Yarrowia lipolytica: one gene and its partner. The protein of the gene in region 1 purifies or fractionates together with the protein of each later gene. This does not show direct contact. Links are inferred from orthologs where the notes say so. Each region holds a gene or a part of one and is shown on either strand. Other genes may lie near its edges.

Evidence for each region.
Region 2: the proteins of YALI1_E24513g (region 1) and YALI1_F27667g purify together in Saccharomyces cerevisiae (affinity purification with mass spectrometry; 3 studies listed by BioGRID). This does not show direct contact. The link is inferred for Yarrowia lipolytica from reciprocal best matches to the Saccharomyces cerevisiae genes UPA2 and NHP2.

What each region holds. Positions count from the first base shown.
Region 1 is NC_090774.1:2,448,318-2,454,564, forward strand, and holds YALI1_E24513g (uncharacterized protein), read right to left. Parts: upstream 3,031-6,247; coding exon 3,022-3,030; intron 2,968-3,021; coding exon 1,822-2,967; downstream 1-1,821. Other genes in the region: YALI1_E24487g (uncharacterized protein), read left to right, coding at 421-1,644; YALI1_E24532g (uncharacterized protein), read right to left, coding at 3,223-4,914.
Region 2 is NC_090775.1:2,763,932-2,769,414, forward strand, and holds YALI1_F27667g (uncharacterized protein), read left to right. Parts: upstream 1-2,784; coding exon 2,785-3,252; downstream 3,253-5,483. Other genes in the region: YALI1_F27663g (uncharacterized protein), read right to left, coding at 103-2,460; YALI1_F27686g (uncharacterized protein), read right to left, coding at 3,641-4,669; YALI1_F27692g (uncharacterized protein), read left to right, coding at 5,301-5,483. UniProt on the Saccharomyces cerevisiae protein: Non-catalytic component of the H/ACA small nucleolar ribonucleoprotein (H/ACA snoRNP), which catalyzes pseudouridylation of rRNA and is required for ribosome biogenesis.

The sequences.
Region 1 (6,247 bases):
ACGTGGTTAGACGACAGAACCCTGTTGTCTTGAGGAGAGATGATCCGGGACCTAGTGGCGACTTTTGTGGGTAAGAGAGGCTTCTTTCACATCTTTATCGATCCCAATTGTCACAAAAAACTTCCAGCAAGTCAATTGCATCTTTGTACATCTCCTGGAAGCCACATGACCTCCTCTTCCCCTCCGGAGAGCCCGACGGCATAAGAGTTATGCACGCAATGCATCCAGTGCCTTATCTCTCATTGCGAGCCATCCTGCATTCTGACCATCACAACAACTTGATTGGCGGATAATATTGCCACTTCAAAGGAAAGCATTATCGTGACTATCGTGTGCGTTACAGTGCGTTGTTACTTGACTTCCCAACGTTCCCCAACTCATACACCTTCCTCACACACATCTTGACTCGTTCGCCCCATCATGGACTACCTACTTACACTACCCTCGGTGAGAGATAGGTCGACAGCCGTGTTCAACCAGGCCAAGGTCGACAAGCTCACCAACTTCACCGCGGACTTTGAAAAGCTACCTGCCGTGGCAGAGTACGTCCATAAACTCATTGAACGAGACTACCAGTCGGACGCCTCCAGAATCCCCCCTCACGGACGATGGCAACACTTTGACGTGGGTCACAAACGCCTGGAGCCCCTCATTGAGTCCTGGGAGAAAAAAGGAGTCTCCAAGGACGAGGTTGCAGCTAGACTGGTCGATCTGTTTGTGGTGTCTGTGCTTCTGGATGCCGGAGCAGGGCCCACCTGGAAGTACACAGAAGGCTCCGGAGAGCAGACAGGGCGATCCGAGGGAATCGCAATTGCCTCCCTCGACATGTTCGCCGCGGGAATCTTTGGTGATCCCGATATTGTGACGGGTCCCGGCCTAGAAAGGCTCACCCTCAGCCAGCTCAGTGATGGCTTCCAAGTAAGCAAGACGAACCCGATGGACGGCCTTGAGGGACGGTACAATCTGCTCGTCCGGCTAGGAAAGGCTCTCATCGCTTCTCCTGAGCTCTTTGGACCCTCTGCTCGCCCAGGTCATCTCATCACTTACCTCAAGAGCACAGAAGAGCCCATCGAGATAGCAACTCTCTGGGAGGCGCTGATGAAGGGCCTGGGCCCCATTTGGCCTGCGGGACGACTCAAGATAAACGGTAAGGCTCTGGGAGACGCTTGGGTATGTTCCTCTCTCCCCAACCCTTCAGGAGACGAAGCTGGATCTGTCACGCCTTTCCACAAACTCACCCAGTGGCTGACGTACTCCATTCTGGTCCCCATGAAGGAGTATGGAGGCCTCAAGTTTGTGGGAGAAGAGCAACTTACTGGTCTACCCGAGTACCGAAACGGAGGTCTTCTGGTCGATTTCGGGGTTCTGACTCTCAAGCCTGAGGCACTGAAACAATCGCTTAGTGGTGCCAATGACCTTCCCAAGTTTGAGCCCTCCTCTGACGTGATTGTCGAGTGGAGAGCTCTTACCGTTGGCTTCCTGGATGCCCTTCTTCCCATGGTCAATGCTATGCTGGAAACGCCTCTTGTGTTGCCCCAACTTTTGGAGGCTGGCACTTGGAAGGCTGGTCGTGAAATTGCCAAGGAAAAGCGATCCAACGGCGGGCCTCCTATTGAGATTCAGAGCGATGGCACTGTGTTCTAATCCTCGAGAAGTCGTATAACCCTTAGGGTCCCTACCATTTCTACTCCATCAACTTGCATCCTTCATGTAACTCACTGTTAACCGATCTATGTTATTAATATACATTATATGCACCCATACCACATGTACGCGCGTAGAAACTTGTACTATCGTGCAAGTAGCCATACTCGCATCCTCCTATGCCAGCCGATCAAGAGCAACAAAAACTCCGTCTTCCACTCGAACAGGTCTCTTGAAATCCACTTTACTATCGAACAGCTCCTTGGCTCCAGACACTCCAAGCGCAGTGTCGTGCTTGACGGCGTCCTCGACGTGATCCCACTGTCCAAACACAAACAGAGGCCGCTTGACAGTTCGGGGCAGGGCCAGAATGGGCTTGGGCTGTGTTTCCGGTGCAAGCTCGCTCTGTCGGAACTCTCCACCAGGACACCACACGGTGTAGTCGTATCCCTCGGGAGTAGAGGGCATGGTGAAGATGTGAGAGAAGTCGGTGGCCACACGAACAGAGTACCCGGTATCTTGTCCGTAAGCCTCTGTGGCTGACACAACCTTGTTCTCCTTGGTATCCACAGTCACTCTGACGCCCACAGGAACGGTCTGGCCATATTCGAGCTCGTGGGGCTCTGCAGCGCCAATGTTGATGTAAGGAGTGGCACCATCAACGGTTGGTGGCTGCAGCTCGATACCCTTGGCCTCAGCCTTCTTGACGTTTCTCTTTTGTTTGGAGATCTTGCTCTTGACGTTCTTGTTGAGGATCATTGGGATCGACATGCCCTCCTTGTATCGGGCGTCTCGCGACTCCATGAACGGTAGCAGCAGCTTGGGCAGCTTCTTGGCGTACTCAAAGTTGGTTGTAGTGGTTTCCGGGGTGAAAATGGACTTTCGCAGGTAATCGGGGGTGACGAAAAACTGCAGCAGAGAAGCCAGTGTCACAGCTCGCTCGGACAGCTCGGGCTTGTGGTCGTTAGATGCGTCAGAGTTGAAGACAATCTTGGGCTTTCCAAACGAGCTAGTCTCGGACTTTTTGGTCTTCTCCTGCTTGATGTCGGGCCGCTCTGAGGGTTCGTAGATGACAATCTCGTCCACGTTGTAGGCCACCGCAGCTCGAGCAATCTGGTAAGCAGTGTGGACAGCTTGTTGGTAAGACTTGACAACAGTCTCTGAAATGCAAGTGGAGGGCACAACGAGAGTCACAGAAAGCTGAGCCTCCTTGGGAGTCGTGGTCTGGAGCTCGCTCTCTTGGTTGGGTGTGAGGGTGGACTCAAACTCCTGCTGTTTGGCCTTCTTCTTGGCCTTGTGCTCCTCAGGAGTCTTTCTCTTGAGCTCGGTTAGTTATTGTGGGATCCAAATTGGCGCTCTTGACTCGCTCATACTCACTTCTGACATGTCTTCTTGTGGTGTGGTGTGCTTGATGAAAATTTCAAAATAATTTCGATTAGACTTCGTGATCTTTGATGCAGGTGGGAGGATGTGTATACAGTTGGGATTACTTGGTTTACCTGGGACTACTTAGACGTTTAGTTAATAACTTCGTATTCATCAAATATATCAAAATTGCTTGGTTTGCTGGTGTCGCGTCTACTTGGAAAGCTGGTCAACAACTGCGGCAAACAGCCAGGCTCCGGGATCGGGAACATCTGCGGTCTTTGAAACATAACTGGCTCGTCCATACTGAGCTTTGAGGGTCTTTGTGCTTTCTGCTCCCTCCTGAGCGGCTTTGGCTGCATGTTGAAGACTTCCAGACGAGGCGTAGACTTCACAGAAGGGAATCAGAGAGTCCATGACCGTTCGGTCACCCTTGCGAGCCTGTGTGTGTGTCTGGAGAGATTTTGAAGCCAATCCAACCGCCTTTGGAGCCTGTTCAACTCCTTCCTTTTGCAGGTTGTAGATGAGAGCACTAACAAAGATGCCCAGAATGGCTCCCAGAGAGCCACCCATGTCATCCAGGCAGGACGAGAGGAGATTAAGAGTTCCCTTTAAAGAAGACTGCTTGCGGGAATTCCACTCCTTTTGAATGTGAAGTGCCGCGTCTTTGGCTGCCATACCGCAGTCTCCATCACCCATTACAGTATCCCAGGTGGTGAGAGAAGGCTCGATTGAAATGACATGTTTGCAAATACGCGAAACAAGCTCGTCATAAGGCGACTCTTCGCAGTCCTTGGCCGCTAGCTCCTCCTGCTTGGAGAGCACCTTCTGTTTCTTGGGCTCGTTGACACCGACCCTTGGCCAAGCAGGAGCATCAGTTGGAGCATCGATGAGCTCTAGAAGCTGTTTGCTAGATAATTTTTCAACGAGAGTTGCAGAGTATGAAGGGTTGTAAAGAGTGATTGAAAAGCCTGGGCCGTCTAGCGACGTCTCAAAGGCTCCAGACAGGACTCGACAGGGAACAATGTTATAATCCTGCTCCAGAACAGACAGGGCCACTTGAGTTAGGGCTCCATTCTCGAGATTAGACAGCCCACCAAAGTTGTTGACCAGCAGAATAACCTCGTCCTTCTCCTTGAAGGACACAAAGGCTCGCTCCTTGTCGTTGGGGTCTAGCAAAAGAGTCAACATCTGTTTGATGAGATCTTCAGGCCGTTCGGGAATGTCGACCTCAACAAGTCCTCGTTCGTTGTGAATACCCATTCCAAGTACAGCCTTGTCATGAGGGATATGAAAGTCCACGTCTGTTCGACCAGGAACACTGCAGTGGTCCAGAGAACATCCCACCGTGACCAGTCCGTCGTTCACTGCCCGTCCTACATTGGAGACGTGATCAAAGGAACCTCCAGCCTCAGCACAGGCTCCCATGGACTTGAGAACAAGCAGGTTTCCCGCCAGTCCCCGTCTTCCGACCTTTGAGGACCGGGTTCGTCCGAGAGCGACATCATCAGTCACAGGGATGACTGCCACCTGCATGCCTCCAGACTCGGCCTGGAACTTCTCTTGGGCCAGTCCAAAGTGCAGCTTGTCGCCCGTGTAGTTTGTGATTGCCAGAATAACGCCACTGTCGGGTTCCGAGGCTCTGATACCGGCCATAACCTGTCTGGCCGAAGGAGATGCAAAAATGTCTCCACAGACAGCAGCATCTAGTAGTCCCGAGCCCACAAGACCGCTCCAGCTGGGCTCATGGCCCGATCCGCCGCCCGAAATAACTCGGACCTTGTCCGACTTTTTCTTCTTGTAATAAATGATTCTCTGATCTTCCACTAGACCCAGTTGCGGGTTGCTAGCCAGGAGAGATTCGAGGTAGAGATTGACGAGATTCGTTTTGGCGAAGTGTTTCATTTTGCGTGTGATGTGTGAGATGTGACGACCGTGAAGATGAAAGAAGCACTACTTGCACTCAACTCATTTGTTCTATATACATCGAGCGCTTTTACCTCAGAAGAAGCGGATGTCTCGAGAGAGCCTTGAGTTTAGCGTACATGAGATCGACTTTGTGGGGTAGTAGAGAGGTGTCATCAATGGACATTTCAGAGGAGCTTTTGCAGATTTTTTTACATATTTGTACTCCTTGGAACTTGGGGACCCTAAAGATATAATTTTCCTTCCGGTATCGGCATTTCTGTATCCCCTGATGACGAAAATCTGTATCGTATGGGGATATCGAATTTTGCGGGGTACAAGTGCAAGTACTCGGTTAAGCTCTCGGATGCCTTCTTTTGGATGTTCCGTCATACGATATCGGCGGATAAGCTCGTTTGGGAAGTGCATGCGGGGAGGTCACCTGTTGAAGAAAGAAGATGAGATAGGTGTTAAAATAGAATTCTGACAATGTCAAATTGGCTGTCTGGGTTCGACGATTTGCCAGATATATTTATTTTTGTCGCATGAGCATTTTTGAGTGTCGATGACCTGTTTGAGAGCATTGCTATGTGCGATTCTTTTAGGAAGCATACTGAGGTGCGATGTGATGAAAGAGAGGGAATACATCTGGCCTTTTTTTTCTTTCTTGACTTGATCTCCAGAGAGAGAGAGAGAGAGAGAGAGAGCAAAAAGCGGCCTTTCGTAGTCCTGGTCACGTGTATGGTTTACGAAGGGTGAGGTTCTGGTGACAGGACACACATCAGAGTGTACTGCGTACTTGTACTTGGGTATACTTGTACTTGGGCTCTACGAATATTGAAAGATATTCGGGTAGCAACGTCTGCTTCATTCGTTCTTACACGTACAGGTATCAATATTAACAACGCAAACAGTCTCCTTCATGGTACAACTTGTATCTTCTCTATGGTATATACCTCCACGATGAAACTCAATATGGTCACGTTCAGACAAGGATGGGAGAGTACTTCGCTGGATTGCTGTAAATGCACCAAACGAAACGAACCCAGATGTCCGCTGAATCACACGCAAGCTCTAGTGGCACGGCTCTACCAACCTAGCAAGCCGCTGGGAGCAAAAGCCGTGTCATAGATACGCAAAGCACAAGGCCACATACTTGTTGTAGACTAGAGACAAGGATTCAAACACAATGGGATATCGAACAGAAGGCTTGTGTACAACCCTTGATTACTACTCTATGAATGGGTCATAGATAACAAAACCTCTAGTTCGTATCAGTCTTCTGTTCAGTCCTAGTGTCAAGTCTTATCTTTGGGTCTTCAGCCACACCCGG
Region 2 (5,483 bases), on another chromosome or scaffold:
TGTATAACCTTGCATTGACTGTGCCTGTGGACTGCTCTTGTGTTTTAATTAAATAATGCTTGTTATATTATATGCTGCTACGGATATCTGTACGTACCGTTGTTATCGAGCAGCAATTTCTTTTTTGGCTTGTTCGACTTCTCTGAGACCCTCTTCAAGATCCTTTTCATCGATATCCATGGCATCCTCGGGGGCAAGTCGGTAACCTCCATCCTTTTTGGATCCCTGGTACTCCTGAAGCTGCTCCAATGACCACACTGAAACACCCTCCTGGTCTTCCTTGTTCATAGGCTGGGCCATAGTTCGCAAAAACTTCTTGGCTGCAGCTAGAGCCATATCTGTGGACAGATTTGTGTCAGCATCCAAAATGGCCTGGTTGATCCATTTGGGCAGCTGGTTTCGCTTCTTGGCAAAACGTCTGTCAGCCAACACCATGACACCGTAGTCATCTTTACCTCGCAAGACTCGTCCCAGACACTGGGCAGCATGGCGCATGGCATCGAAAGACAAGAAGTCGTTCTCTCGAATGTGGTAGTTATCTCGCAAAAACTCGAGACGAGCCTTCAAGATACGCGACTCGGTGTACTGAAAAGGAACACCAATCATAAGCACAGTTCTTCCAAACTGGTGGTCGAAATCGATACCTTCCGAAACCTTTCCTCGAGCGACACAGAGCATGACAGCGCCTCGACCGTTGGAGCAGGCAGTTCGGTAAGTTTCTAAGGCAAGAGAGGTTTCCTGAGCATCAGGAGTCTCGACCAGAATGAGTTTGTACTTCCACACTTCGTCCAGAATACCCATAGTCTGCCACATGGAAATGATAGACTCCATGTAAAGATATGAAGGGAAGAAGACGACAAGGCCATCAGGTGTGATCTTAGAAAATTCAATCAGAAGGTTACCGTAGTTTCGGACAACTGAAGGATCGTTTCGGATCTCGAATCGAGAACTGATGGCTACCTGGTCTGAACCCTTGGTCACAATGAGAGGACAGAAGGCTCGCCGTGCCAGTGTCATGGTGTACGACTCCTGAACCACAGTCTCGAAGTTCAACATTTTCGGGTACATATCTAGAGGGGAGATGGTACCGGATGTGATGATGATGCTTGAGAACCGATCAAAGACAGGCTTGATAGCAATGGAGGCGTCCAAACATGTAAGATGCAAAATGGGGTTAGGAACGGTGGCCTGATCGGTCTCAAAGGGCTCCAGAATGAGCTGGAAGCCGGTGTCGTAGGTAGACACCAAGGTGGCGAACACAGCAATCTCCTTGAGAGCAGTGTAATCATCGACGTGAGTCAACTCGAGGGTTCTGACCAGATACGATAGACGCTCAGCGCAGAATCGAAGAGGCTTTCGTTCAATGTATGTCAAATCTCGAAGATGTTTCAAGAACGATGCAGGGGTTTCGGAAATGACATGAAGCACCTTCATTCGACTCTTGAGATATTCAATGAATCGTTTCAAGAAGGCCACGAAATGTTCTGCCTTTCGAATGTTTCCAGGCACAGCTTCCGAAATAAGATCTTCAGGGAGCACAGGGTTAGCGAGAAACGTATCTTCTTGTTCTCCGGATTCCAGATCTCGCAATCCATCCACCAGTTTGTTGTATTCATTTTTCAATTTCTCAGAGTCGCTGGATCGGGCCTCACTGACCTTCTTGGCCAGATGGTTTGCTCCCCGAGTGGCTCGTTTCAAGGAGTCTTCAGTAATGTCGACAGACAGAGCCTCAATGCAGACGTTGTCGATATTATGGGCCTCATCAAAAATGACAATGCAGTCTTTGCTCAGCTCCTTGGAAACTCGGTCGGCGATCTTGGGATCGAGTAGATAATGATAAGAGTAGATGATGACGTTGCAGAAGGCCATCATTCGACGCACAGTAAAATAAGGACATGTCTTGTGCTCCTCGCCATACGCCAAAATGTCCTCAAAGGTGAAAACACCAGGTGGAATGTAGTTGTGAGGCTCAATGTCGTTCATGTTCTCGTGGTATTCACATAGAGTAACGTCTTCTCCTGCAGCCAGCTTCTGCTTGGCAATTCCAGATGTCATGGCTCGGCACTTCTCGTCGACAATGTAACCTTTCTTTTCGTATCGCACATTGGGATTCAGACACAGGTTCTTTCGTGAGGTCAGACCCAGCCCTCTAAAGTCCTCCTCAAAGCCTAGAGTCTCAGTTCGAAACTTCATGAGGTTCTTCAACTCAGCCAGAGCCTTCTCGATCTCCGACATTGTTCGGGAACAATAAATGATCTTTCGATGCTCGGGATAGTGTTGCTGGTACGCCACTGTCAGAGACAACAGGGAGACAGTCTTGCCTGTTCCTGAAGGCATTTCCAAGATGCAGTTGCCTCCCACGTCCAGGGTTTTCTTGATGTCGCACATGTAGGCATACTGCTCGGGATAGATCCGAGGGTATGGCCACAACACCGGCAGATCATCGATGTAGAACTTCATCTCTGGTGGTTGATCTGTCGCAACGAATGGTGCTACTGATATATCAAGGTTGTGTAATGCATGGCGTCGTGGTTAGGGTAGATTGTTTTGGGAGGAGCTGGGGATCTGAAAAATTTATCAGGAGTGTGTAAACGGCTCATAACCCAATAATGGTATCATTAATAGTAATCATGTCCGTAAGCTGTCTATCTGTTTACTTTTTAATTCTGATCTTGTGTGCATGTATTCCTGGATGCTCATAACCTCTGAACCCTAATAAGTTTTTTCAAGCGCTGTAGCTAAATTTTTTTTTCATCCTGCAGTCTCACACATCACACTACAACAATGGGCAAAGACAAGGGAGATATCACCGTTGAGATTGACGAGGTCGACAACTACGACGCTCGAATGGAGGCTCTGCTGCCCTTCGCCAAGCCTCTTGCCCCCAAGAAGCTCAACAAGAAGGTGCTCAAGACCGTGAAGAAGGCTTCCAAGGCCAAGCACGTTAAGCGAGGTGTCAAGGAGGTTGTCAAGGCTCTCCGAAAGGGCGAGAAGGGTCTTGTCATCATCGCTGGAGACATTTCTCCCATGGATGTCGTCTCTCACATTCCCGTTCTCTGTGAGGACAACGGTGTTCCTTACCTCTTCATCCCCTCCAAGGAGGATCTCGGAGCTGCCGGTGCTACTAAGCGACCCACTTCCACCGTCATGATTGTTCCCGGCGGAGGCAAGAGTAAAAAGGCCGACACCAAGGTCGAGTACAAGGAGAACTTTGACGAGATTGTCAAGGACGTCAAGAAGCTCGAGGATTAGTTATTTATAATGTACACTAGCATGAGAAAGGAAGGAAGAGGGTGTCAACTAATCTTGACAGTAGGGTCCGATGGTTAGGATAGTCGGACTAAATTATGTATAGAATGTTACCTATTCGATTTGTTGTTCGTAGTGGGATTGTCCGAGTGCAGCAGTACCTCCTTCAATGTCAGACGCTACAGTATGTACAAGTACCGGTACTGTAGATACTTCATACACTATTAAGGACTGTACTTGTGCTTTTTTCTGTATTGTAGTTGGATCCACGAGTGGAGGGCGTTGCTGCTGTAATATATCTTCTCGTTTCTTCATCAATAATTATCTAGATACTCTAGGGGCATGGTCTCATTACTTCGTCATCGGGCCTTGTCGTCTTAGTAGTGTCACCTTAGTGGTGGTGGTCCAACCACTCGAGAAAGTCGGGGGTAAAGTAAGAGATAAGGAGGTTGGCTCCGGCTCGCAGGTTACCGTAGGCCGCCTCGAAGGCCATCACCTCCAGATCAACAACGCCCTTCTCGGCAGCTGCGTGGATCATGGCGTACTCTCCGGAAACCTGGTAGGTAGCAATAGGCACGTCCTTGCAGATCTCAGCAGCGTCCACCACGATATCCAGGTAAAAGGTGGAAGGCTTGACAATGACGGCATCGGCACCTTCGGCCAGGTCTCGAGCAAGAGCTCGTCGAGCGAGACCTCGACCGCCAGCGGGGAGCTGGTATCGCTTTCGGTCTCCGTGGCTGGGAGCAGAGCAGGCAGCCTCTCGGAAAGGTCCGTACAGGTTTCCGGAGAACTTAGTGTAGCTCATAACCATGACGTTGTGGGCAAGACCGGCCTTGAGCAAGCCCTTTTTGATGTCGTGGATTCGACCGTCAATCATGTCCGAGGGTGCCACACAGTCAGCTCCTGCCTTGGCGTAATTGACAGCCACGGCAGCCAAACGTCGCACAGTTGTGTCTCGGATAACAGTTCCGTCCTCTCGAAGAACGCCGCAGTGACCGTGCGAGGTGTACTCGCACAGGCAAACGTCACACATGACAAACAGGTCAGGGAAGGCCTTCTTGAGAGCCTTGGTGGCCTGAATAACGGGTCCCTCGGGATCATCCGCAGCAGTTCCCTCAAGATCCTTAACACCCTCCTTCATAGGAACACCGAAAAGAATGACAGATCGGAGGCCCTTCTTGACCAGAGAGTCGACGTAGGGCACCAGCTTGTTGACGCCCCATCGCTTCTGGCCGGGAAGAGAGCTGATAGGAGTCTCCTCCTCGGGATCATCAGTGACGAAAAGAGGATAGATGAACATATCCTTGGTGAGGCGGTTCTTCTGCTGCCACTGTCGAGACAGAGGGTGGGCGTAACCGCCGCTCAGAATGGAGGAGATCTGGGTCTCGTGTTCTTCCAGGTACTCGGCTTTGTGGACCATGGTGGTGTGATAATGTGATGAGTGTGAAATTTCATGCACGTACACACTTGAGTTTGCGTTGTGGGGGAGTTTGGGACGGACAGCTCATTAAGCCAGCAGAGAAATAGCGTTGCTCTTGTAGTAAGAGGGTGTTACAGAAGCAAGGCAATGAGGTAGCTGGCGTAGACCAAGATCCTTACCACCTTCCTGGTATCGCTATACGACCTCATTTCCCGATTGGCATTACTGACGCTTTTCCTAGTCGTTAACTAAACAGTAGCCTAAAACATCAAGTAATCTCTTCCAGGTTGAATAACTCAAAATTCCTCCTCTTGCGCACGGCCCACAAGAAGGGTCTAGAACTTCGGATGCCTAGCAATTAATGTTGAGCTAGTCATGGAGCCTGTTTCAGACCCTCGCAGTAGAATATCGCCACTAAATATATCCGGGAAAAAAAACGCAACCCAATATGAAGCATCTACCACTACCAACATTCTACACTACGCAGTATCGGCCTCAGGCACACCCTTCATCTCACCGGTGCTCATAACCTCAGATAACGATACCGAATCTTATACCAAAATATCCAAAGTTAGTGCGGACCAAGTGCATATCATAAACAGCCTAAACTCCAGCTTTCAAACAGAACCATATGGACTGCCATTCTGAACACGTTGAACACGATCACGGTGACCACGGCCACGACCATGGACACGACCACAGTCACGTTCCCCAGCCCCATACCTCTTCGGCTCAGACTCTGTATAATCGGATTTCGCACGCTGGCATCCGAACCCTGAACGAGTCTGAAGAGGGAGCCGGAGCCTCTGTCTTC